6 linked regions of the Callithrix jacchus genome follow. Each later gene encodes a partner of the first gene's protein in a complex. Links are inferred from orthologs where the notes say so. Each region holds a gene or a part of one and is shown in the gene's direction. Other genes may lie near its edges. The genes, in order: GTF2F1, POLR2G, ERCC2, GTF2F2, GTF2E2 and CTDP1.

Region 1 (4,257 bases):
AGGCACGCGCCACCATGCCCAGCTAATTTTTTGTATTTTTAGTAGAGACGGGGTTTCACCCTGTTGACCAGGATGGTCTCGATCTCTTGACCTCGTGATCCACCCGCCTCGGCCTCCCAAAGTGCTGGGATTACAGGCGTGAGCCACGCGCCCGGCCGGGAATATAAATTAATGACATTTCTGAGGCTTCTGACTCCCCAGAACTTATGGGGTCTACCCCCTACACTAACCCACTACAGGAATTAAAAAGTTTACACCCCAGACTACTTCTGCCTCTCTCACTCCTACATTCCGAGGAGTTGGCAGTTCTTGACATTTAGTGGATGAGGAATAAATGAAACCAGACATGTCTTGTTCCCCTTCCCTCTGCGTAGCCTACAACTCCTATGCATCCCTCAGTGGCCAACTGAAACCTCCCGTCTTCTCTGAGCCCTCAGAGCCCCGCTGTGCTTCTCCTGCTCCTTCCTGGGTTGTAGATTCCCATTTTATGAGTCTCCGCCACGACACTGTAACCCGCAGAGGACAGAGAGCTGGTTTGATATATTCACCTGGCGGAGCCCGGAACCCAGCAGCGTGCTTGAGTATTTCCGAACTAGAGCAATGAATGGTTGTGCTGTGAGCATGCGCAATTGTGTTACTGCCAGGCTTGAGGGGTGTGTGCACGCCTGGAATGGGGTAGGGGAACTTGCACCTCCCTCCCGTCCTCTGCAGCCTCCTTCCCTTCCCCCCAGTAAGCCAGCCAGCCACCCCCACGACGTTACTCTTCTCCGGGGGCCTCAGAGCCCTGCCCATTTGGGGCAGCTTGGACTTGCAGAGACCCATCCCGCCAGCAGCCCTTGGGGTGGTCGCGCCCCGATTCCGGGCAGGCTCTGACCCCTCCTGGCTCGGCTCAACGTCACAAGGGTCCCCGCTCCGGTCATTTTGCGGGAATGACGGGGTCCACCCCTTCTGGGCAGGTAGAGGAAACGAACCCCAAACAGGCCCATAGGGAGCCAAGCGGCAGTTCGACTGGACCCGAGTAGGCCTCAGTTGCTATGGTGACGCGGCCTTCCAAGCCCCAAAGTCCCGAGCGGCATGACGCATGCGCAAAGCGCCTGGGAGCCCGCAAGGAGGACTAGCTTCCTTCTTCCCACCCAGGATGCCCTGCGGTCCTTGGGTGCTGACGTCACGAAGGAGGGCGGTCCCACATTTGATGACCGCACTGTACATAGGAGCATCAGCGACCAAGGCCGGTTATTTGATCTCAGACTCGGCCTTGTTGCGTCTGAAAAGGGGCAGGGGTGGCTCTTTTGAGGTGGCCATAGACGCCGAGGAACATAAGTGACGGCGCATTGAGGTAGCCACAGCCGCTTAGAAGGTTGCCATCGCGACGCGGCCGCTGGAGGGTTTAGCTTCCGGGTTAGGCGGCCGCGGAGGCGTAGACGGAATAACCTGAACGCCTCTTCCGGTTACCCTTTCCCAGTGCCAGAGGCGCCTAGGGTAGGAATCCTCACACGGGGACCGGAACAGAGACCCGACAAGGAACGGCGGCTTCCCCGAGATCGAGGGACGCGCTAGCCAGAGGAGAAGAAAGGAACCCGGGTCGGACCACGGAACCACTGACCATTGCCCATGGCGGCCCTAGTGAGTGTGGATTTGGCGGGGTTCGGGGGTCCCGGCGGCGACCTCGGCGGCACCTTACTCACCGTCCGCTTCCTCTTTCCGCAGGGCCCCAGCAGCCAGAATGTCACTGAATACGTCGTTCGAGTTCCGAAGTAAATCCCCTACCCCATCTCCCACTCCTCTCCACCCCGCAAAAGTGAAAACCTTTACGGTCCTCTTAGCCTGACGTTTCTGGCCCTGTCTGTGGTTCTCCCTCCAGACCGGGGGACTTGGAGGGCAGGGCTGCGATTAAGCTGAGGCTTCTCTGGAGGCAAACACTGCTTTTTGTATGAATGAGTGCATTAATACACAGCACGATTCAGCCTCCTGGCCTAACGTTCGAGAGCATATGATGCCCAGGCTGTCTCGTCCTCTTTCAAAGCGAGCAGGCTGCCTTTCCTTTCCAGGCCTTTGTACATCCCGTTCCCTCTGCCATGAGTGCCTCCCCTCAGCCCCCAAACGGTGACTCTGTTGGGTGAATTCTTGTTGATTCTGCAAAACTCAGCTCCAGTATCATCTTCCTCCAGGAAGCACTCCCTGACTGACCTCCCTCCTCCCCAAGGCTGAGTTCCCAATAATCTCCACATCTTGGGTTTCTCCCAATCTTTGTTCCTCCATTTGTTCTTCGTCTGCACGCAGTTAAGAGGGGATGGGGTCTAGCTTCTCTGGCAGACTGGGATTCCTGCAGTCTTCCGTATCCAGTGTTGACAGGCAAAACAGACTGAATGAACCAGGGTGGGTTTGTTGAGTGACTGAATTAATGATTCAGTGGAATGGAATGCTTGAATTAATGGTTCAGTTGAATGGAACGATCGAATTAATGATTTGATTGAATTAATGATGTGTTCACATTGATTGATTAAATTAATGATTGAATTGAATTGATGTATTGGATTGGCTCTATCTCTTCTAATCCACTCTAGGAATACAACCAAAAAATATAACATCATGGCTTTTAATGCAGCTGATAAAGTCAACTTTGCCACGTGGAATCAGGTAAGTCCCTGGGTCCTGGGGGTCGGGGGCTGGGGTGGTGAGAGAACCTGACCCTGACCTTGGTGGTTGTAATAGTTGCTTAGCTGTCATAGTAACTAAGTCTTAATTTTCTCACTTTTCCCAAGTGGAGATAAGGTAGATGACAAAGAGTTGGGTGCAGTAGTTTGTACCTGTAATCTTAGCACTTGGGAGGCCAAGGCAGGAGGCTTGCCTAAGGCCAGGAGTTCAAGACCAGCCTGGGCAATATAGCAAGACCCTATCTCTACCAAAAATAAAATAATTAGCTGGATGTGGTAGTGTGCATCTGTAGTCCTGCACAGGAGGCTGAGGTAGGAGGATCACTTGACCCCAGGAGTTGAAGGCTGCAGTGAGCTATGATTACACTACTGCACTCCAGCCTGGTGACAGAGTAAGACCTGTCTCAAAAAAAAAAAAAAAAAAAAAAAAAGATGGCAAAGGCCCAGGCCAAGCTCCTGGGTGTCCCTGTAAGTTACGTTTAGTAGGACCACAGGAGGCCATTCCTTAATGGAGAACATTTAGAAGTTGTGCCCACTGATGGCCATTTTTGCCAAGGTTTATCTGGCTGAGGGAGGGGACTGGGCTAGGGCCTTCCCCAGAGCCCCTGCCATCAGAGGCTCTAGAAAGGACTGTGGGAGCCATTAAAGCATCCTCCACGGGGAAGTTGTATTGTGATCTGGCTGCTGTGGGGAGGCAAACTGTGGGTTTGAGGGCGGATAAAGGGAGAACAGGGTGGAAGCAACTGGGCTGACTGGTCTAGGTGAGTCCTGGCCTGGGGATGTGGAGGCCGTGAAGGTGATGAGATGTGGCTGGATTCTAGAGTGTTTTGGAAATGGTACATATGGACCTTGAAGCAAGAGCTTAAGGGTAATTGGGACCTTATTGGCCACATAGGTCATGATTAATGGTTACATTTTAGAGATTTTGGTGTCTTACTGTCAACAAGTTTGGCACAATGAATTTCTTTTTATTTATTTAAATTTATTTTTTTGTGATGGTGTTTCACTTTTGTTGCCCAGGATGGAGTGCAATGGCACGACCTCAGCTCACTGCAACCTTCAACTCCCAGGTTCAAGCCATTCTCTTGCCTTAGTCTCTCATGTAGCTGGGATTACAGGTGCCCACCCCCACTCCCACCTAATTTTTGTATTTTTGGTAGAGATGGGGTTACACCATGTTGGTCAGACTGGTCTCGAACTCCTGACCTCAGGTGATCCACCCACCTTGGCCTCTGAAAGTGCTGGGATTACAGGTGTGAGCCACTGTGCCTGACCTTTTTATTTTCTTTCTTTCTTTTTTTCTTTTTTTTTTTGAGACGGAGTTTTGCTCTTGTTACCCAGGCTGGAGTGCAGCGCGATCTCGGCTCACCGCAACCTCCGCCTCCTGGGTTCAGGCAATTCTCCTGCCTCAGCCTCATGAGTAGCTGGGATTACAGGCACGTGCCACCGTGCCCAGCTAATTTTTTGCATTTTTAGTAGAGACGGGGTTTCACCATGTTGACCAGGATGGTCTCAATCTCTTGACCTCGTGATCCACCCGCCTCGGCCTCCCAAAGTGCTGGGATTACAGGCTTGAGCCACCGCGCCCGGTCGCTTTATTTTC
Region 2 (4,162 bases), on another chromosome or scaffold:
ATTTAAGTCTTTCTAGTCAATGTAGAGAACAAGACAAATAAGAAAGTGAGTTGATCTATAATCTGAGAACAGAAATTGTAAACTGTATGTGACTCGAAGTCACATCTCTCTCGAGGCTTAAAGTGGTTTTTGGGATTCCAACAACTTTTTTTTTTTTGAGATGGAGTTGTGCTCTGCCGCCCAGCCTTGAGTGCAGTGGCACAATCTCAGCTCACTGCAACCTCCTCCTCCCAGGCTCAAGCGATTCTCCTTCCTCAACCACCAGAGTAGCTGAGATTACAGGCGCCTGCCACTGCGCCCAGCTAATTTTTTTTTTTTTGAGATGGAGTTTCACTCTTGTTAACCAGGCTGGAGTGCAATGGCGCATTCTCAGCTCACCGCAACCTCTGCCTCCTGGGTTCAAACGATTCTCCTGTCTCAGCCTCCCAAGTAGCTGGGATTACAGGCATGTGCCAACATGCCCGGCTAATTTTTTTTGTATTTAGTAGAGACGGGGTTTCACTATGTTGGCCAGGATGGTCTCGATCTCTTGACCTTGTGATCCACCCGCTTTGGCCTCCCAGAGTGTGCTGGAATTACAGGCGTGAGCCACCGCGCCCAGCCCCCCCCTTTTTTTTCAAGTTGGGGTTTCACCATGATGGTCAGGCTGGTCTTGAACTCCTGACCTCAGGTGATCCACCTGTCTCGGCCTCCCAAAGTGCTAGGATTACAGGCGTGAGCCACCGCGCCCGGACTGATCCCTTCTCTTAGAAAAGAAAAAAGAAAGACAAAGGTCTGGTGTGGTGGCTCATGTCTATAATTCCAACATCTTGGGAGGTTGAAGCGGGAAGATCACTTGAACTCAGGAGTTGGAGACCAGCCTGGGCAACACAGAGACTCGGTCTGTACAAAAAAAAATTTTTAAAAATTAGCTGGGCGTGGTGGCACGCCTGCTGCCCCAACTACTTGGGAGGCTGAGATGGGAGGATCGCTTGGGGCCACGAGTTGGAGGCTCCAGTGAGCTATGATCCCGCTAGTGCACTCCAGCCTGGACAACAGAGACTCTCTCTCTGCCCAGGGCAGTGAAGTACTTGGGCCTCCAACAAACATGTGTAGATATATATTTGCTGAATCGATTTGCTGCACTCTGTTATAGCGCTTGACTTATGGATTCTTTCACTAATTAATCTCGTTATAAGTATTTACTGAGTGGTTGTTATAGTTTGTGCATTAAGAGAATTGCCTTTTGAGGCCCAGGTTGGGCGGGCGAGGGGCGTGGCTTTAGTGGTTCCCGCCCACGACAGCGAGGCCCAATCAAACCCGCGAAGGGGGTGGAGTTCCTCCCTCTGTCGCGGCCGGCCCGGAACTGGGGTTGCTGAGGCTATCTGTGCTTCCGGTGGATTCCCGGAGGCGGCAAGAGGTGTGGATTTAGCCTCGCAGACTGCTCTGGGAAGATGTTCTACCACGTGAGCAGGGCTCAGGGTGGCAGCAAGGGCTGGGTGGGAAGGAGGAGCAAAGCCGGGCGCCGGCGCGAGGGGCCCCTTCTTGCCCGATAACCTCCCAGCGCCTGGCCTGGTCGCCATCCCACTTTTCTCCGCAGATCTCCCTAGAGCACGAAATCCTGCTGCACCCGCGCTACTTCGGCCCCAATTTGCTCAACACGGTGAAGCAGAAGCTTTTCACCGAGGTGGAGGGGACCTGCACCGGGAAGTGAGTGCCGACTTCACCGCGCAGCCAGATCGCACACACGAGGCGCTATACCTGCAACCCCTCCCCAGCTCCTGCTCGTCCTGCCACCCACTCTGGGGACCTCTCTCACTCTCTCAGGCTGCCAGTTGTTTCCTGCTTTGGGTTCCCAGGACTCCCTCTGCAATGCTGGCCGATAAGACTTCCTTCCCTCCGTTGAAATTAATCATTCATTTACTCCTCAAACATGTTAAAAAAATCCTTGCTGTGTGCCAGGACCCGTGTTGGGCCCTGAGAACAAGATAGAATGAGACCAGCCCTCGTGGAGTCCACAGTGTAATTACTGTTCTTGTGTCTGCTCTCCCTCTGTCATTCTGCTGGTTTTCTCTTATCCCCTGTGCCCAGGGACCACACACCATGGGCCTCAATATATATTCTGAATGAATGACCAGAAAAGGCAGATCGAGTTGGGGGAGGAAGGAAGCAGCTTGGGACTTGAACATCTCTGGGCTTTGTGCAGAGGAGCCTCTCCCAGGGTGGTATTAATGACCCAGCCCAGGGCAGTGGAGTTACTTGGGTCTCCAGCATCAGAAAAACCTGGGGTGGTTCTTGAACATGCAAATTCCTGAACCTCATTGTTTCCTACAGAATCAAGATTCTCTGGGGCAGACCTGAGAATCTGCTTATTTTTTCTTTTTTGAGATGGAAGTCTCACTCTCACCCAGGCTAGAGTCCAGTGGCACGATCTCGGCTCACTGCAACTTCTGCCTCCCGGGTTCAAACCATTCTGCCTCAGCCTCCCAAGTAGCTGGGATTACAGATGTGCATAACCACATCCAGCTAATTTTTGTTTTGTTTTTTTTTTCTTGTGATGGAGTTTTGCTCTTGTTACCCAGGCTGTAGTACAATGGTGTGATCTTGGCTCACTGCAACCTCCGCCTCCTGGGTTCAAGCAATTCTCCTGCCTCAACCTCCCGGGTAGCTGGGACTACAGGCACGCGCCACCATGCCCAGCTAATTTTTGTATTTTTAGTAGAGACGGGGTTTCACCATGTTGACCAGGATGGTCTCGATCTCTTGACCTCGTGATCCACCCGCCTCAGCATCCCAAAGTGCTGGGATTATAGGCGTGAGCCACTGTGCCCGGCCTTAAGTTTTGTATTTTTAGTAGAGATGGAGTTTCTCCATGTTGGCCAGGCTGGTCTCAAACTCCTGGCCTCAGGTGATCCACCTGCCTCGGCCTCCCAAAGTGCTGGGGTTACAGACATGAGCCACCGTGCTGGGCCAGAGAGTCTGCATTTTAATAAGATGATTCTCAGGCATCCCAAAGATTGGCCCCTGTTGGCTCAAGGTCTCCAGCCATCTTGGACATTTATTGTGAAATTATCAGAGCAGCATTTGGCCTAATACATACTGATCTGTGTCCTGTCTTCTCTTGGTCATTAAGCTCTGGTAACTGAGGTGCTAGCAACTTGTCCTTTTGTTCTCCTTGACCCTCCTCCCAAAAGCTCAGTGACTTTTACTGCAGAATCTTTAGAGGCTCATGGACACAAAATGCCGTTTGTTTCTCCTCCTCCTTGCAGGTATGGCTTTGTAATCGCTGTAACCACCATTGACAATATCGGTGCTGGTGTGATCCAGCCAGGCCGAGGCTTCGTCCTTTATCCAGTTAAGTACAAGGCCATTGTTTTCCGGCCCTTTAAAGGAGAAGTCGTGGATGCTGTTGTCACGCAGGTCAACAAGGTGAGACCATACATAGGGGAGCCAGTGGGGTAGTCTCTTGGAAGATGTCGTTGGGTCCTGGCTCCACTTGATAACTCTGTGCCTTCAGCTAAGTTACTTTACTTTTTGTTTTTGTTTTTTTTTTTTTTTGAGACAATTTTGCTCTTTAACCCAGAGTACAGTGGCACGATCTTGGCTCACTGCAACCTCTGTCTCCCGGGTTCAAGCGATTCTCCTGCCTCAGCCTCCTGAGTAGTTGGGGCTAAAGGCATGTGCCACCACGGCTGCCTAATTTTTTTTTTTTTATGGTAGAGATGGGGTTTTGCCATGTTGCCCAGGCTGGCCTTGAACCCCTGAGCTCAGTCAGCCCACCTCAGCCTCCCAAAGCACTAGGATTACAGGCGTGAGCCACCATGCCTGGCCAGTAACTTTTACTTCTTGTGCTTCACTTTAAAATTGTATGGCAATCTGGCCCTGTGTGACTCAGAGGGCAAGGGAGTCATTTATAGTCATAACAATAGAAGCCTGCATTGACTGAGTAGTTACTATGGGCCAGGTAATGTGCAGAGACCCACAGTGATTTTACAAGGTGGGTGCTTTTTTACAGAAGTTGAAGCTTAAGTTAAGTGTACTGGTCAAGATCATGTGCCCAACCAGTGTTCAAATCTTTTTTTTTTTTTTTTTTTTTTTTTTTGAGACGGAGTTTTGCTCGTTACCCAGATTGGAGTGCAATGGCATGCTCTTGGCTCACCGCAACCTCTGCCTCCTGGGTTGA
Region 3 (3,500 bases), about 34 Mb from region 1:
TTTCACAGACTTCCTTGGGCTGCAGAGTGAGGATGAGGCCAGAGAAGTTCTCTGGGGTCAGCTCACACTAGAGGGCCCGGTAACGAGTTGGTCATTGTGTTCCTGAGGGCGCTGGGGAGCCATAGCAGATTCTAGCAAGCAAGGCGCCAGGTCAGATCTGTGATTTTTTTTTTTTTTTTTTTTTTGAGACAGAGTCTCACTCTGTAGTCCAAGTTGGATATGGTGGTGCGATCTCAGCTCACTGCAGCCTTCGCCTCTGGGACTCAAGCCCTTCTGTTGCCTCAGTTTCCCATGTAGCTGGAACTAGAGGTTCCCACCACCACACCATATTAATTTTTTTGTATTTTTAGTAGAGACAGGGTTTTACCTGAGCTCAGGCGATCCACCCACTTTGGCCTCCTAAAGTGTGGGGATTAGAGGTATGAGCCACTGCACCCAGCCCAGATTTGTGCTTTAGAAAGATTTCTTCTGGGGGCCAGGTTCGTGGTGGTTCATGCCTGTAATCCTAGCACTTTGGGAGGCTGAGGCTGGTGGATCACCTGAGGACAGGAGTTCGAGACCATGCTGAGTAATATGGTGAAACCCTGTCTCCCCTAAAAATACAAAAATTAGCTGGGCATGGTGGCGTGCACCTGTAATCCCAACTACTTGGGAGGCTGAGGCAGGAGAATTACTTGAACCTGGGAGGTGGAGGTTGCAGTGACCAAGATCACACCACTGCACTCCAGCCTGGGCGACAGAACAAGACTCCATCTCAAAAAAAAAAAAAAAAAAAAAAAAATTTCTTTCAGGGACTAGAAGCAGGCAGGAGACTGGGTGGCGGGCGGGGGCCTGAGCAGGGGAGGAGGGGTCGTGGCCAGGGTGTAGCCATGGGGAGAGAGATGGGTGTGGTTTGGAGAGAGAGGTGGGAGGTAGAGGCTGGGATGTGGGGAGCATGGTTCCCGGTTGTGGGACCTGGGACAAGAGGAGTTGAGGCTGATTTTCAGATTTCCATGTTGCAGGAGAGGGGCGTGGTTCCGGAGGCTTTATGGGCAGTGTTCCCTCCGCATCCTCACTGTGAAGCTGACCAGGGGCTCAGTCTGCCTCCTAGGGGTTTCTCCTCTACCCAGGACACTGGGTTGGGGCTAATGTCCTTCAGTGGGGCCTGGCAGGAGGATGGAGACCTGGGCCCCCGCCCTGGGGCTGGTTAGTAGCAAAGCCTGCTGGCCGCTGCCTCTGCCTGTCCTGCCCTGCCCCACCTTCCATCCCTGCCTTTGTCGTTCTCTACCCCCTATTTCCTATCTGCCAGCCCTTTACGTTCTTGCACCTGCAGTGTCTTTCCTCATCTTCCTCATCCCCCCAGCCACCTCCCCCTCATCCTTAGGTTCTCAGCTCTGTAGAGATGTCTCCGCCACCAGGAAGCCTTCCCTGACCCCCAGCCTGAGTCAGGCCCCTCCTTTAGGCACCTCTATCCCAGCATTGCCCACTCAGTCATCACCATCTGGGTACAATTCTGCCTCCTACTGGATTTCGAGTCTGTGCGAGCAGGGGCAAAGTTGGCTTGGTCACCCCTGTGTCCCCAGCACAGAGGACTTATTTTTTTCGCTGTGTGAAACTGAATATATAAGTTAATTAATTCATTTATTTCTTCAACAAACGGGCCAGGCTCAGCACTGTGGAAGCAGCAGGAACCAAAAAAAAATCTCATTCCTACCCCCCTGCAACTTATATTTCAGAGAGGAAAACCAATAGCAAAGATGTAGTAAAATAAAAGAGGAAATGATTCCGGAAAGTGACAGTTATCATAAAAAAAAAGTTCTGTTGGAACATGTGTGCGCAGAAAAGGTGTCTGGGGAGGGCCTTTCTGAGGGGCTGACTTTTGAGCAGTCTCAGATGACCAAGTGGGGCCACTTAGGAGTTTTCCAGGCCACATGGGATCAGCAAGTGTAAAGGTCTTCGGGGCACTGAGCCTGCAGTTTTTTGAAGGTCAGACATGCTAAAGGCACGTGGGGGCCATGGGAGGCTTCTTGGGGTGGGGAGGTGACATGGCCGGACTCAGGATTCCATAGGGTCCCTTCTGGCTGCCATGAAGTGAGCAGGGCATGATGGTTCAGGCAGGAGGTGATGGTGGCTGGCCCCGGGTAGGGTTGGGAGCAGTGGTCTGATTGCAGGTGGGTTTTGGAGGCAGAGCCGATGGCTTAGGTAGAAAGGTCACGGGAGGCCAGTCACAGTGGCTTATGCCTGTAGTCCCAGCACTTTAGGAGCCTGAGGCAGGCAGATAACTGGAGGTCAGGAGTTTGAGACCAGCCTGGCCAACATGGCGAAACCCCATCTCTACTAAAAATACAAAAGTTAGCTGGGTAGGTGGTGCTTACCTGTAATCTATTACTCGAGAGGTTGAAGTAGGAGAATCGCTTGAACCCTGGAAGGCAGAGGTTGCAGTGAGCTGAGATCGGCCCCCTGCACTCCAGCCTGAATGATAAAGTGATCTCAAAAATAAGTAAGAACTGGTCTTGGGAGAAGGCATGAGGCTCTGGCTCCTGGCTTTGGTGTGGGTGCTGGGAGAGTGAGCAGTGGACAGGGCTGTGGTACAGTCTGCTTGGGATCCTTTGTGACAGTCTGCACAGATGTGGGCCCTGTGGAGAGGCTGACAGGTTGGGGTGTGTTTTGGACTCGGATGCCTGGGTTTGGGGCTTAAGCAGCTGATGTTTGGACCCATTGAGTCCTGTGCAGTGCGGGATGGGGATTGGGGTGGAGCAGGAGAGGGAATGACTGAGTGGGCACAGCTGTGGTTGCATGGGGGGAATCACTTGCCCTTGCCCGCCCTCTGCAGGCTTCACCATCATCATCGAGCCCTTTGACGACAGAACCCCAACCATTGCCAACCCCATCCTGCACTTCAGGTGGGATCCTGCCTGGTGGGGGTGTGAAGGTACTGTGGGTGGGGGGCCCAGCCCGCCGGGCCCTCACCACCCTCTCCTCTCTGCAGCTGCATGGACGCCTCGCTGGCCATCAAACCTGTATTCGAGCGCTTCCAGTCTGTCATCATCACATCTGGGGTGAGGACCCTTCCCCTGTCCCCTCCCAGTCCCTGGCCTTCCTCCATGGGTCTCCTGGTCCCTGCCCGGTCCTGCTGAGATTTCTCCCCACTACTGTCCCCACTACAGACGCTGTCCCCGTTGGACATCTACCCCAAGATCCTGGATTTCCACCCTGTCACCATGGCAACCTTCACCATGACGCTGGCTCGGGTCTGCCTCTGCCCTATGGTGAGTGGGAGAGGCTGAGGCTGGGGCCAGGAGGTGAGATGGGAGCCAGGGGCCACCTTCCTTCTTTCCTTCCTTGGCTTCCCCCACTGCTCAGGCAGAACAGCCCGAGTTCAGGATTCAAACAGACCTAGGCTTGATTCTGCCTCTCTGTGGGTGCATCTCTCAAGCCTCAGTGTTCTCATCTGTGAAATGGGGATGCGTCCTCCCTGATCACAGAGGGCTGTTGAGAGAATTGAGAGAGAGAACTGGGGT
Region 4 (4,300 bases), on another chromosome or scaffold:
AGGCCCTTTCCCAAGTTGTTGCACAAGAAGAAATCTTCATTTTCTACTTAAATTTTTTTTCTTTTTCTTGTTTTTAGAGATGGGGGTCTTGCTATGTTGACCAGGCTGGTCTCGAACTCCTGACCTCGTGATCCACCCGCCTCGGCCTCCCAAAGTGCTTGGAATACAGGCATGAGCCACCACACATGGCCGAAACTTTCATTTTCAACACACTCCCAGTCTCTCCCATCTTTCCTATTAGTTTTGCTAGCTAATTGTAGAGTTCTGACAGCTTTTCCTGGCCCTATGCTGAACATACGTAAAATTTCCTCAATTTTGTTCATGGCTCTGATGTATGACTCAAAAAATTACTTGCCATTCTTAACAATACCTTATTGTTTCTCTTCAGCGAATGTTCTTTCAACCAAAGCCTACTGAAATCTGACGATGTATCAAACACTGTACTAGACATTGTGGAGATAAAATGAATAAAGCACTATTTTTTATTTGTCAATTATACCTCAATAAGGCTCTTTTTGCCTAGGACCAGTTCATAGTCTGGAAAGCAAAGGCAGACATGTAAACATACATATTACAGTGCAGAGTGCTAAGTATCACAGCGTGATGTGAAGAAAAACTAATTTCTTCCGGGGGAGTTGATAAAAGGTGTCACAGGAAGTGACATTTCCGTTGGTCTTGAACTACAAGTAGGAGTTTGGCAACCAGAGGACAGGGGTGGGAATGAGGGTAGGGGTAAAACAGGGCATCTGAGGGAAGGGAATCCAGTGTGCAGAGGCTCTGAAATGACCGAGGAAGATTCTGACGTGTTCAGGAAAGTCTGCTGGGTTTGGTGTGGTTGGGTGGGTGGTGGAGTGATGGGTGGTGGTGGAGGGCCCAGTTGAAGCAGAAGGGTTGAATTTTATTCCAGAGGCAAGAAGAGAAAGAGAACATCGTTTACGCAGGGGAGGAAACGACCAAGTTTGTCTCTTACTTGTTCATTTCTTCACAGACCTCCGGGTTTTGGAGTCTGAGGTGCTCTGCTCGCTTAATCAGAAGAGCTCAGGCAGCCTCCGAGCTGAAACACCGCTTTCTTTTCAGGTCTAGAAACGGCATGTGTTCAGTACCAGGGCTACCCAGTCTGATCCCAGTGCCCACCTGTGCTAATGACGTTGGCCAAGGACGCCCATTTGCTACCCAGATCCTGCCCTTCAAATACTGTCTCTCTCTCTCTCTCCTCTCTCTGGCTAGGACTGGACATGTTCTGACAGCTCTTGTCTCTTTGAACCCCATTTTTTCATTCTGATAATCTTTTTCTTCAGTTATGCTGACCTTGTCTTTAAATACATTGCTAACGTTTTGGCTCATCCCAACCAAGTTTCAATCCCTCTGATAGACATCGCTGACAGCCACGCCCACCCGAGAAATTGCCGACACAGGAAGTTTGTCCGCAACAGGGCGCCGTACTGACGTAGTAATACGCAGGCGCAATCCCAGCTCCCGGCGGCGTGTTCCCCTTTCCGCGGGTTTCCGGTGTCCGGGCCGGTGAGAAACGCCGGCTCTTCACCTCTCAGCGCGGCTTAGCGCTTTGCTCCGGACGTTCGCTCCGCAGCCCTCCGGCTCCTGGGGTCGCTGCTACAGCCCGCGCGCCTCCACCAGCGGCAGACCCATGGCCGAGCGCGGGGAACTCGATCTGACCGGCGCCAAACAGAACACGGGAGTGTGGCTTGTCAAGGTAACGTTCGCTGCGCGCTCCTCCCAACACGAGTATAGTTTAAGTAACTTGAACCCATCCGGCTGCGTGCGCCTCTTAAAGTTCTTTTACGGCTGTCTCGTTAGAGCTTCACGTACTTTGAGAGGCAGGAGGCATTGCTGTATGTTTGCAGATGAGGAAATCCGTTTAGGCGCGCCAGTTACGAGTCTGAATCCACCTGGACTCGTCTCTTCTTCTCACGGCTTTCCTGGAGCCTCGTCCTGATGTCCCCGGTTTGGACGGTGCATTTTATCTAGGACCGAAGAATTCCTTGTGTCTTCTCTTGGTGAAACTGCTTTTAGCCATGAGCCTGTGTGGGGTAGTTGAATGTCTGTTTTCTGTACATTTTTCTCGGCGAGAAAGTAGAACCGGTCCATGCGTACCCTTAAAGTGTTGTGTTAGGTTGATGGTCCTTAATGGAGCTCCGAAAAGAGGCGAGACAGCTCTCAACTCGCAGGAGACGTCATTGGACTGGGATATTCTTTGTTTTTTTTTTTTTTTTTTTTTTTTTTTTTGAGACAGAGTTTCACTCTTGTTACCCAGGCTGGCGTGCAATGGCGCGATCTCGGCTCACCGCAACCTCCGCCTCCTGGGTTCAAACAATTCTCCTGCCTCAGCCTCCTGAGTAGCTGGAATTACAGGCACGCGCCACCGTGCCCAGCTAATTTTTTGTATTTTTAGTAGAGACGGGGTTTCACCATGTTGACCAGGATGGTCTCGATCTCTTGACCTCGTGATCCACCCGCCTCGGCCTCCCAAAGTGCTGGGATTATAGGCGTGAGCCGCCGCGCCCGGCCTGGAATATTCTTTTAGAGCACAATTGGGTCTCGTGAAACTGACCATCAGTAAGTGTTTTACGTAAAGACAGCGATTTTGGTTAGCTCACAGTGGGCACTACTCGTGCTTCACTGTTTCATGTTGGGGAGTGTTGTCTCCTAGGGGAGGCTCATAATACTTAGGCATATTCGACATGTGATCCTGAAACTCATTGAAACTTAAAATGTAGGGACTTTTGGTTTCTTAATGCTTTCGCTTATTTTATCACATGGCTGAGTTCTCGTCAATTATATCTAAGCGGTCTTCCTTGTCGGTCTTCCTAAAAGAGCTCCCTTATGATCATTTGCTAACATGACATATCCATGTTACATTCCTCAAAGCACTTTTCACGGTGTAGAGTGATTTTGTGTTAATATGTGAAAAGTTGGTTACCTTCGTCTTTCCAACACAAAATTGCATTCCGTGAGAACAGGATCTTTGCCTGTTTACCCAGAATAGTGTTTGGCACATGGTAATTATTCAACAAACAGGTGATGAATAAATGCCTGACCTCTCACTCTTCAACCCTTGCCTTAGTCTGTGGCACTCATTTGACTTATTTCAAAGCTCAGTATGACTTAAAAGAATGGATTAAATAGGCCGGGCACGGTGGCTCAAGCCTGTAATCCCAGCAGTTTGGGAGGCCGAGGCGGGTGGATCACGAGGTCAAGAGATCGAGACCATCCTGGTCAACATGGTGAAACCCCGTCTCTACTAAAAAAAAAAATCAAAAAATTAGCTGGGCATGGTAGCGCGTGCCTGTAATCTCAGCTACTCAGGAGGCTGAGGCAGGAGAATTGCCTGAACCTAGGAGGTGGAGGTTGCGGTGAGCCGAGATCGCACCATTGCACTCCAGCCTGGGTAACAAGAGCGAAGCTCCGTCTCAAAAAAAAAAAAGAATGGATTAAATAGGCATTTCTCGCTCCAGCAGCATGTTAATTGGAGGAGAGTCACTAAGGAAGAGATGATCCTTGCAGACTGAAGGAAAAAGCTTGAAAACATAGTGTGACTGGAGATGGTGCCGTTGTCCTAGGAGCATGGTAAATGCTCAATGTTTGCCTTACATGATTTGGATGGGTAGACATGGTGTATACCATGGGGAGTGGAACAGAAATGCAAGACTCAAAATACGTAATCGTGGAAAACATGGCATGTTTTGGCATGTTGTGGAAAACAGACCCTAGAGCAGAAGATCTGTGTAAATAAAGGTTGGGCCCATATACTCAGACTGTCATGTCATGAAGTGGAAATGTTCTAACTTTAGTTTACAAGGAAGTAACAAACTTTTTGGAGGACTTGAGTGAGGTAGCGACGCCAGGTATTCAGAAAAAAAATGTTTGGCAGTGTGCAGTACGAATTAGAGAGGAGGGCAACCAGAGTCACAATTAGAAAATTATCACAGGATTGGGCTGGGCCTGGTGGCTCACGCCTATAATCCCAGCACTTTGGGAGGCTGAGGTGGGCAGATCACGAGGTCAGGAGTTTGAGACCAGCCTGGCCGATATGGTGAAACCTTGTCTCTACTAAAAATACAAAAATTAGCCAGACATAATGGCACATGCCTGTGGTCCTAGCTACTCGGGAGGCTGAGGCAGAAAAATCGCTTGAACCGTGGAGGTGAAGGTTGCAGTGAACCAAGATCGTGCCACTGCACTGTAGCTTGGGCGACAGAGAGATTCTGTCTCAAAAAAAAAAAAAAAAAAATCACAGGATGCTAGGTACATGATAATGAAGCTTAGGAGTTAGGGAAACTTT
Region 5 (4,284 bases), on another chromosome or scaffold:
TTTTAATACATACTGAATTCCCTGCCCCTTTCTCCCCTTACTCCTCATCAGTTTCCTACTAGTTCTTTGATTTTATCCTTTTGTAAATATTCTCGGCCCTAATCAATTGTGATTCAAACAAAGTTACATTTTCTGTGCATGTCAGATGATCATCAAGTAGGCTTATTACAAAATTCTCTAGAATGAAACTAATCAAAAAGATCACAAAATATTGTCTTTCAACTTTTTTCTCCAAGTTTTGAATAAAATTTTAGGTATTTTCTCATTTAATTTTCACCACAGTCCAGTGCAAGTAACTCATTGTAGTAGTACAATGATTATCCCCATTTCCCAGATGAGAAACCAAGCCACAGGTTCAGTAACTTGAGGAGTAATCAGTAACAAGTAATTAAATTAGAGCCATAGAATGGCTGAGAGCTGGCTGTACTACCACTTTAGGTTACAAGACTGAGGGAAGTTCTCCACGCTGCAGGGTTCGGGCAACGACAATTATTTTTCCAATTGCTTTATTTTCACCCATTCATCGTGCTTCTGAATCCAAAATCCTTTCCTAAGACAGTTCACAAGGGCGGAGCCTGGGCTGGGCTCCACATCAGGCTGCCTTTGCTAGTTATGCTGTCTTGAGAAAGTTGTTTATTAATTAGCTTTCTGGGCCTCTGTTCTTCGCTGTAAAAGGGCTGGAACCGCCTTCTCGGAGGGCAGGTGACGGTGGGTGGCACTGGGGTAGTCACAAAATAACCGTTGAGGCCGGGCGGGATGGCTCACGCCTGTAATCCCAGCACTTTGGGAGGACGAAGCAGGCAGATCACTTGAACTCAGGAGTTTGAGACCAGCCTGGGCAACATTGTGAGACACTATTAATACAAACAATAACAACAATAACAAATATTGCCCGTCCTTGTGGCACTCGCCTTTGATCCCAGCTACTCTGGGGGCTGAGGTGGGAAAATGCCTTGAGCCCGGGAGGCGGAGGATCATCACAAACCAAGTCTCCAAAAGGTAGCAAAAGAGAGGGAAAGTAGAAAGGTTGAAAGAGGTTAAATGGTGGCAGGAATCGTGGGCTTGGAGCCCCAGTGAGCCGAGACAGCGCCACTGCACTCCAGCCTGGGCGATCGAGTGAGATCCTGTCACTAGTAAGAAAAAGACAAAGAAATCAAAATAATCCTTGAAAGACAAGAGTCGCCGATTGGGTTCACCACAACCCAGCGCACTCCGGGGCAGGCTGTAGCAGCTTTAATTAAGCGTCCGTAAAGAAAGCCCCCTTTCCTCATCCCTGGCACCGCCTCCCATCTCAGTCCCCTCCTCGGCCCCGCCCCCAGCATTCCCTCGTTGTCATGGAGCCCACAGGACGCCCGAGCGGGCTACTTCTGCTCCCGCGGCACCCAAGACAGGGCACGCAATGACGCATGCGCGCGCTCGGCGGCCATGGCGCCGCGGTGGCTGCTGGGACTGAGCTCTTAGCACCCGATCGGGAAGTGGCGGGCGGAGTCCCGGGTCGAGTCGCCGCCTCAGCAACCACCGCCGCTGCAAGTGGCGAGACCCCGACCTGGCGGGTCCCCGCTGGGGGAGCGTGCGGGCAGGCGGGGGCGCTGACGAGGAACAGGAAGAGGCTGCCGTGCCGGCGTGGGCGGCTGGCCGAGGCGTAGGCGGAGGGAGGCGGTGGCGAGTCGCGCGGGGCTGCCCTAATCACTCAGGTAGGGGCTGCGGCCGCCGGGTGAGGGGAGCGGAGCCCCGGCCTGCTGTTCCCCGGGACCCAGGCGCGTCGCCGCTTCCCGGGGGGCCGAGCGTGACCTACACCCCACGGGAAGCTGGGGCCGCCGTTCTCGACGCGAAACACCCAACACGCGAACGGTTCCCCCAGCATTGTCTTTAGGCCGGAGGTTCATTGAGCAAACTTTTGGATTGGGAAGAGGGAAAATTCGCGGTCTGCTGACTGTGCCTTCAAGCCTCCAAGTTCACGGGCGCGGTAGCCAAGCGAACCGCGTGTGGAGTTTCGGGAGCCACGGTGTTCCAGCCAGCTCAAGGCTGTGATTTAGATTCTCATACGCGAACTGGTTTCTAGGCTACCTTTTGGAGAGTTGGTTTGTGATGATTCCTAAACTTTAACGGTAGTAATTGACTTCTGCAGTCTAAAGATGTTTTCCACACAATAAGGCTGCGGCCCCCTTTTCGCCCACCTCCCAACTGCTGTCATTTAAAGGCGAAGCAGCCCGATGTTCATAGCCGGGTGCTGAGGTGCCCTGGACACTTCTGAGGCTTGGAAAGAAGCAAAAGAGAGGGAAAGTAGAAAGGTTGAAAGAGGTCGAATGGTGGCAAGAGTCGTGGGCTTGGAACCATCAGCTTTTCGTTTAATTTATGGGTTTTCCATATCTACCCACGGAGAAACCGGTGAACATTTTGAGTTGTGGTGGTAGTTTGTTTTGTTTTAATGTAAAATGGACATAGTGATGTAGCTTGTTTACTACACAGGTGGGTCCTGAGATCTTAAACTTAGTACAAATATTGAGTAGTCTTTGAAAAAGGAGGAGAAGTTAGAGCATGTGATGGTGAAAGACATCGCGAAGCCTTCTGCTCTAGGTGCCTTTGAATGTTCCAGAACCTCGTAGGTCGCCTTTGTTTTAAAGGCCTTTACCAGCGTTCCAGGTCTGGTGTAAGGAGCATTCGACTTAAGAGTCAGGAGGTTTGGGTTCTGACCCTGGTTCTTCCATCGGTGCGACCTTTAATCAGACAGCTTCACTTTCACATTTCACGTATTAAAATAGGAATAACACTAACAACTTTTCGCTCCGAGAGTTGCAAGGGTCAAATATTGTAAGCATTTAGTTTGCTGTAAACTGTACGGGTTTATTTAAGTCTTCTAAGGTCATTTTTTAAAAGTCTGGATTAAGGTCCTGCCTTAATCAAAGGTGAAATTGGATTAAGGTGAAATAAAACACAGATTTTTTTTGTTTTAGGAATTTACAATCTGCTTGTTGCCCCCACCTTCTCAATTGATAATTCTCCTTTCTTCTTGTCCTCACGTTTTCCCTCCTCCCAAGGCTGTCTCCTATCTTCCTCAGCCCGGTAAATCATTCTCTTATTTTTTTTCAGATCCAACTCAAAATAGTAATACTAAAATAACATGTTTTTATGACTTTACTATTTAAAAAATAACGTACACATTTTCTCATTCTTAAAATTGGGTTGGATCGTGGACAGCGTTGGCAGCGTCTTCATTTTACTTGTGAAATTGAGTGTAGTGGCCTTGTGGGTTGCCTAGCCATGTGGCTCTTAGGAATTGAAATGAGGCAGGCCGTGGTGGCTCTGCCTGTAATCCTAGCACTTTGGGAGGCTGAGGTGGGTGGATCACTTGAGGTCAGCAGTTCAAGACCAGCCTGGCTAATGTGGTGAATGAGCCCCTCTCTACTAAAAATACAGAAATTAGCCAGGTATGGTGGTGCACACCTGTAGTTCAGCATCTCGGGAGGCTGAGGCAGGCAGGAGAATCGCTTGAGCCCAGGAAGCGGAGATTTCAGTGAGCTGAGATCACACCACTGCGCTCCCACCTGGGCAGCAGAGAGAGACTGTTTCAAAAAAAAAAAAAAAATTGAAATATTTATTTTTCCATGCACACTTCAGAATCATTTACAAACAAAAACTTTGTTTAAATTTTGAAAATATGTTAAATGTATGCTCCATATATTAAAATAATAACTCAAAAAAACTGAGAGAAGGCAGGTTTTTGATTCACCATCCAGTGATTCTTCACGCCTTAACTGAAATTCACTCTGATTATTCCTTACTAATGCTTATATTTTAAGTTTTTAGCTCAAGGCTTTCATTTTCTCAAATCTAAGCAGCATGCAGACTAGGATTTATCCTCCATAACCTTTCAAAGCTTAGAGCACATGCCTTGCAAACAGAAGACACTTAATAAAGGCGTGTGTAACCAGTAATCATGGGACCAGAGCAATTAAAAGATCTTGTTCCATGTGTTGTTCATTTAACAAATATTTATTGAGCTATCCTGTGCTTAAAAGCTTTCAAAGTTTGAGTCTTTTTCCTCCCAGCTGACACTAGTCTTAACAGTGTCAAATTCATTTATATAGTCAGCTTGAGGTCTTCCTAGACCCTCTGCAGGGTACTAGCAGAGTTCAAAAGAAAGGAGTGTTTAGAATTCTTGTTGGTTGACCTGTAGCTTCCTTGATTGTACTGAAATTGCTTAGGGTTGTAGTTTTAGAACCGGACAAACAGCCACAATATAGAAGTTGTTTCAGACCACCTCCAGATTGGAAATTTTCTATA
Region 6 (3,500 bases), on another chromosome or scaffold:
GTGCACGGTGGTCCGGCTGGGCGCTGGCCAGGGCCCCAGAGAGCGGTGTGGTTTAACATGTCAGGCAGGTGTGCAGCTGGCGTTCACCCTGTGAAAAGTTAAGTGTTTTTGATGTTTATTTTTTAAAAAGTATTTTGAGGCATACATTTACTGCTGTAGTCACTAAAATGGAACTTGGAGGTTAAGACCAGGAGAGAGGGGAACTGGAGGCATTGCCATAGAGGTGGGGACTCACCAGATGGTGAGTCCTCCGGAGCGACGTCCTCCGGAGCGGGGCTTGATAAACCGTGGCCATAGGGTGCCAGGTCTGCAGCCCAGAGCTGGGAAGCAAACCTCCAGTGGTCCCTGGAGGTAGAGGATCCCTCATCCCCCAAATCCAGAACTTCCTGAGTACCCACATAGTGCTCAAAGGAAAGGAAATACTCATGTAGCATTTTGGAGTTTTCAGACTTGGGATGTTGAACTGGAAGTTTAATGCGAATACTCCAAAATCAGAAAACAAACTCGATATCCAACACATCTCTGGGCCCATGTGCTTGGGGTGAGGGGTACTCAGCCCTCCCGGCTCTGCACAGCACCTTTGCCAAGGCCTGGTCTGGGGGTGACTGAGAGCTCTCGGCTGTGGAGAGGGTGCTGCTTTAACTTTGAACGCTATTTAATGTTGAATGCTGAATCGTGGTAACTTTTCCTTTTGCGTGCATATTTAGTAAATCATTCTTCTCGAGGCACCGAGGTCTCAGAGCAAGCCCCGCCCGTGAGAGACCCTGAGGAGGGAGCACAGGCCCCTGGAGTGGAGCCCAGCAACGGCCTCGAGACAGCAGCACGGGAGCTGAACGGCAGCGAGGCTGCCGTCCTGCAGGACTCACCCCGCCCTGGGAAGCCAGATGAGAAGGACACCTGGCCCCTTGCCCAGGCCCCCGCTGGCAGCCGAGAGCTGGCAGGTGCTCTCGAGCCCCAGGGATCCTGTGCACAGGGTGGCCGGGCAGCACCGGGACAGCGGCCTGCCCAGGGTGCCATGGGCACTGACCTGGACTTTGACCTATCCAGTGACAGCGAGAGCAGCAGTGAGTCGGAGGGCACAAAGTCCTCCCCCTCGGCTTCTGACGGTGAAAGTGAAGGGAGGAGAGGCCGACAGAAGCCGAAGGCTGCCCCAGAGGGAGCTGAGGTGCTGGTGCAGGGCAGGCCCCTGGAGGCAAGCCGGCCTGCAGGGCCAAGTTCCCTTGGAGAGGCCGAGCCCAGTGCACACGTCCCGGACAAGGGGCCCGAGCTCGGTGGGCAGGAGGAGGGCGAGCGGGACAGCCTCTGCAGCCTGGGCAACGGCTGTGCCGACAGGAAGGAGGCGGAGACCGAGTCTCAGAACAGCGAGCTGTCGGGCGTCACCGCGGGCGAGTCCCTGGACCAGAGCATGGAGGAGGAGGAGGAGGACACGGATGAGGATGACCACCTCATCTACCTGGAGGAGATCCTGGTCCGTGTGCACACCGACTACTATGCCAAGTACGACCGCTTCCTCAACAAGGAGATCGAGGAGGCGCCAGACATCCGCAAGATCGTGCCGGAGCTCAAGAGCAAGGTGCTGGCGGACGTGGCCATCATTTTCAGTGGGCTGCACCCCACCAACTTCCCAATAGAGAAGACGCGGGAGCATTACCACGCCACAGCGCTGGGAGCAAAGATCCTCACTCGGCTGGTGCTGAGTCCCGATGCCCCTGACAGGGCCACGCACCTGATCGCCGCACGGGCTGGTGAGTGCCGCCTCCCTCCCCACACCCTGGGCATGCGTGGTCAGGCCCGCAGACTCCTTGCCAGCATGCCTTAGAGTTGACATTGCTGTTTATCTCACGTTCAGTTTTCAGAAATGTTTTCCAGAATCACCATCTTTTAAGAATAGATCCTGACATTGGGTGAAATTCAGGTTTGGGCACGTTCATGCTTTCGGACCACAGTCATCGCCAATGCACACCATGCCAGGTGGCAGGAGTTACTAGTGTGTGGGGCAGACAGTTAGAAGCTCCTTCCTGGAGTAAGAACAGGGAATCAGCAATGGGGCGCAGTGGAGACACTCCAGGCAGGAACAGGAGCTGGGGACTTCAGTTCACAGGTGAAAGGCGGACAAACCCTCCGAGTTAGGAAGCCAAGCACAGGGTTCAGCCGAAGTGCACACAGAAGGATGGACGCGTGGTGGCTGGAAGAGCGGAGGACGGGCCACTGTCCCCCGACGGTGAAACCTGCCCAGACAGGACAGGCTGCCGTGTTTGAGACTTCCACCGAGTAAAACAGAACCTTTCAGCGATAGGTGAATCTTGAAGGAAGGCTCACACCTCGTTGCTTAAAAAACCCAAATACCTAGTTACTGTGTTAAAATACTCCCATAAGCACCTTGATCTTTCCCAAGTGAAGGTTGCTTGAACGCCTTCAGGTTCTGCTCCTCCAGTCGTCGTTTCTCTCCTGGCCACGTGTCCTGAGAGGGCTTTTCAGTGCTTGGCCCTGCCTCTGTGGCTCCTGTGGCTGTAGGGTGAGCTCATCCCCGGCCACGCAAATGCTCCCTGTCATTTGAGGTCACGCCTCCAGCGTGTATCTTGTGGCGTTGGACAAGCATGTGCTCAGTAAGCATTTGAGTCAAGGGTGAAATGGAAGGTTCCATCTCAGTGTGAAATAGCTGGGTGCTAGCTGCAGGGTGGAGGCAGGCTCTGTGAGTCCCAGGAGGAAGCTAAGCCTCGGCCCCGTGGGCAGTCAGGCCCTTGTGTCCTGACCATGGAGCTGAGACAGGCCGGGGCCTCCACAGCCCCTCGAGTGCCCGTCTGCTGTGCTCTGTATTTGCCCAGCTCCTGATCCTCCTCTCACTTCTCCCTTCCCCAAATCGTGCTTACGTTTCCGTTTTGCTTCCGTGTTAGTGGCCTCACTGCTGAGGGGCTTTCCTGAACACATTAAAGGGTCCTCTTGTTGCTCACGTCACCCACTGCGTCCAGCTCCCTGTCCACGATCCACCCTCCCCACTCCAGCCTTACCTGTCTTTCCCTTCCCACCATGGCTGCTTGTCCCTGGCCTGGGAGATGGGCACCTGTGATGGGCAGCCCTAGTGGGGTGCAGCCAGGTGAGCGCCCTGAGCCTGACTCAGCCCGGTCTCCCGCAGGCACAGAGAAGGTGCTGCAGGCACAGGAGTGTGGGCACCTGCACGTGGTCAATCCTGACTGGCTGTGGAGCTGCCTGGAGCGCTGGGACAAGGTGGAGGAGCAGCTCTTCCCGCTCAGGGACGACCACACCAAGGCACAGAGGTGGGTGCTTCCAGTCCCTGCCAGGCGGTCTCTCTCCAGGTGGCTGTTGCTTCACATGCCTGGGCAGTGCCCGCTGGGAGTCCCTGCATGCCTGCCCTGCATCGCCTGGATACCCGCTCACAGCCCTTGTTCTCTTCCTCCTACAGGGAGAACAGCCCCGCGGCCTTTCCCGACCGGGAGGGTGTGCCCCCCACTGCCCTGTTCCACCCAATGCCGGTTCTTCCC

Evidence for each region.
Region 2: GTF2F1 (region 1) and POLR2G share a complex: the UniProt entries of both Homo sapiens proteins name them as parts of the TBP-based Pol II pre-initiation complex. The link is inferred for Callithrix jacchus from reciprocal best matches to the Homo sapiens genes GTF2F1 and POLR2G.
Region 3: GTF2F1 (region 1) and ERCC2 share a complex: the UniProt entries of both Homo sapiens proteins name them as parts of the TBP-based Pol II pre-initiation complex. The link is inferred for Callithrix jacchus from reciprocal best matches to the Homo sapiens genes GTF2F1 and ERCC2.
Region 4: GTF2F1 (region 1) and GTF2F2 share a complex: the UniProt entries of both Homo sapiens proteins name them as parts of the TBP-based Pol II pre-initiation complex. The link is inferred for Callithrix jacchus from reciprocal best matches to the Homo sapiens genes GTF2F1 and GTF2F2.
Region 5: GTF2F1 (region 1) and GTF2E2 share a complex: the UniProt entries of both Homo sapiens proteins name them as parts of the TBP-based Pol II pre-initiation complex. The link is inferred for Callithrix jacchus from reciprocal best matches to the Homo sapiens genes GTF2F1 and GTF2E2.
Region 6: the proteins of GTF2F1 (region 1) and CTDP1 are in contact, whole or in part, in an NMR structure (PDB 1ONV), measured with the Homo sapiens proteins. The link is inferred for Callithrix jacchus from reciprocal best matches to the Homo sapiens genes GTF2F1 and CTDP1. Residues at the interface, in NP_002087.2 of Homo sapiens: Thr470, Lys471, Leu474, Gln478, Ser486, Thr489, Val490, Leu493, Ala494, Leu497, Lys498, Leu500, Asn501, Pro502, Arg504, Met511, Phe513; in NP_004706.3 of Homo sapiens: Ala946, Asp947, Met949, Ala950, Lys951, Ala952, Leu953, Glu954, Glu956, Leu957, Asp959, Leu960, Met961.

Annotation. Positions count from the first base shown.
Region 1 is NC_133523.1:6,031,203-6,035,459, reverse strand, and holds the start of GTF2F1 (general transcription factor IIF subunit 1), read left to right. Parts: upstream 1-1,457; 5' UTR 1,458-1,611; coding exon 1,612-1,623; intron 1,624-1,707; coding exon 1,708-1,754; intron 1,755-2,564; coding exon 2,565-2,637; intron 2,638-4,257. UniProt on the Homo sapiens protein: TFIIF is a general transcription initiation factor that binds to RNA polymerase II and helps to recruit it to the initiation complex in collaboration with TFIIB. It promotes transcription elongation.
Region 2 is NC_133511.1:120,037,547-120,041,708, forward strand, and holds the start of POLR2G (DNA-directed RNA polymerase II subunit RPB7), read left to right. Parts: upstream 1-1,362; 5' UTR 1,363-1,433; coding exon 1,434-1,445; intron 1,446-1,579; coding exon 1,580-1,689; exon of another isoform or gene 1,690-1,972; coding exon of another isoform or gene 1,973-2,001; intron 2,002-3,248; coding exon 3,249-3,408; intron 3,409-4,162. UniProt on the Homo sapiens protein: Core component of RNA polymerase II (Pol II), a DNA-dependent RNA polymerase which synthesizes mRNA precursors and many functional non-coding RNAs using the four ribonucleoside triphosphates as substrates.
Region 3 is NC_133523.1:39,539,601-39,543,100, reverse strand, and holds part of ERCC2 (general transcription and DNA repair factor IIH helicase subunit XPD), read left to right. Parts: intron 1-1,001; exon of another isoform or gene 1,002-1,185; intron 1,186-2,812; coding exon 2,813-2,882; intron 2,883-2,968; coding exon 2,969-3,038; intron 3,039-3,146; coding exon 3,147-3,248; intron 3,249-3,500. UniProt on the Homo sapiens protein: ATP-dependent 5'-3' DNA helicase. Component of the general transcription and DNA repair factor IIH (TFIIH) core complex, not absolutely essential for minimal transcription in vitro.
Region 4 is NC_133506.1:164,327,290-164,331,589, forward strand, and holds the start of GTF2F2 (general transcription factor IIF subunit 2), read left to right. Parts: upstream 1-1,500; 5' UTR 1,501-1,645; coding exon 1,646-1,711; intron 1,712-4,300. UniProt on the Homo sapiens protein: TFIIF is a general transcription initiation factor that binds to RNA polymerase II and helps to recruit it to the initiation complex in collaboration with TFIIB.
Region 5 is NC_133514.1:31,806,037-31,810,320, reverse strand, and holds the start of GTF2E2 (transcription initiation factor IIE subunit beta), read left to right. Parts: upstream 1-1,484; 5' UTR 1,485-1,694; intron 1,695-1,759; exon of another isoform or gene 1,760-2,388; intron 2,389-3,043; exon of another isoform or gene 3,044-3,063; intron 3,064-4,284. UniProt on the Homo sapiens protein: Recruits TFIIH to the initiation complex and stimulates the RNA polymerase II C-terminal domain kinase and DNA-dependent ATPase activities of TFIIH. Both TFIIH and TFIIE are required for promoter clearance by RNA polymerase.
Region 6 is NC_133514.1:121,980,888-121,984,387, forward strand, and holds part of CTDP1 (RNA polymerase II subunit A C-terminal domain phosphatase), read left to right. Parts: exon of another isoform or gene 1-88; intron 89-707; coding exon 708-1,745; intron 1,746-3,133; coding exon 3,134-3,275; intron 3,276-3,421; coding exon 3,422-3,500. UniProt on the Homo sapiens protein: Processively dephosphorylates 'Ser-2' and 'Ser-5' of the heptad repeats YSPTSPS in the C-terminal domain of the largest RNA polymerase II subunit. This promotes the activity of RNA polymerase II.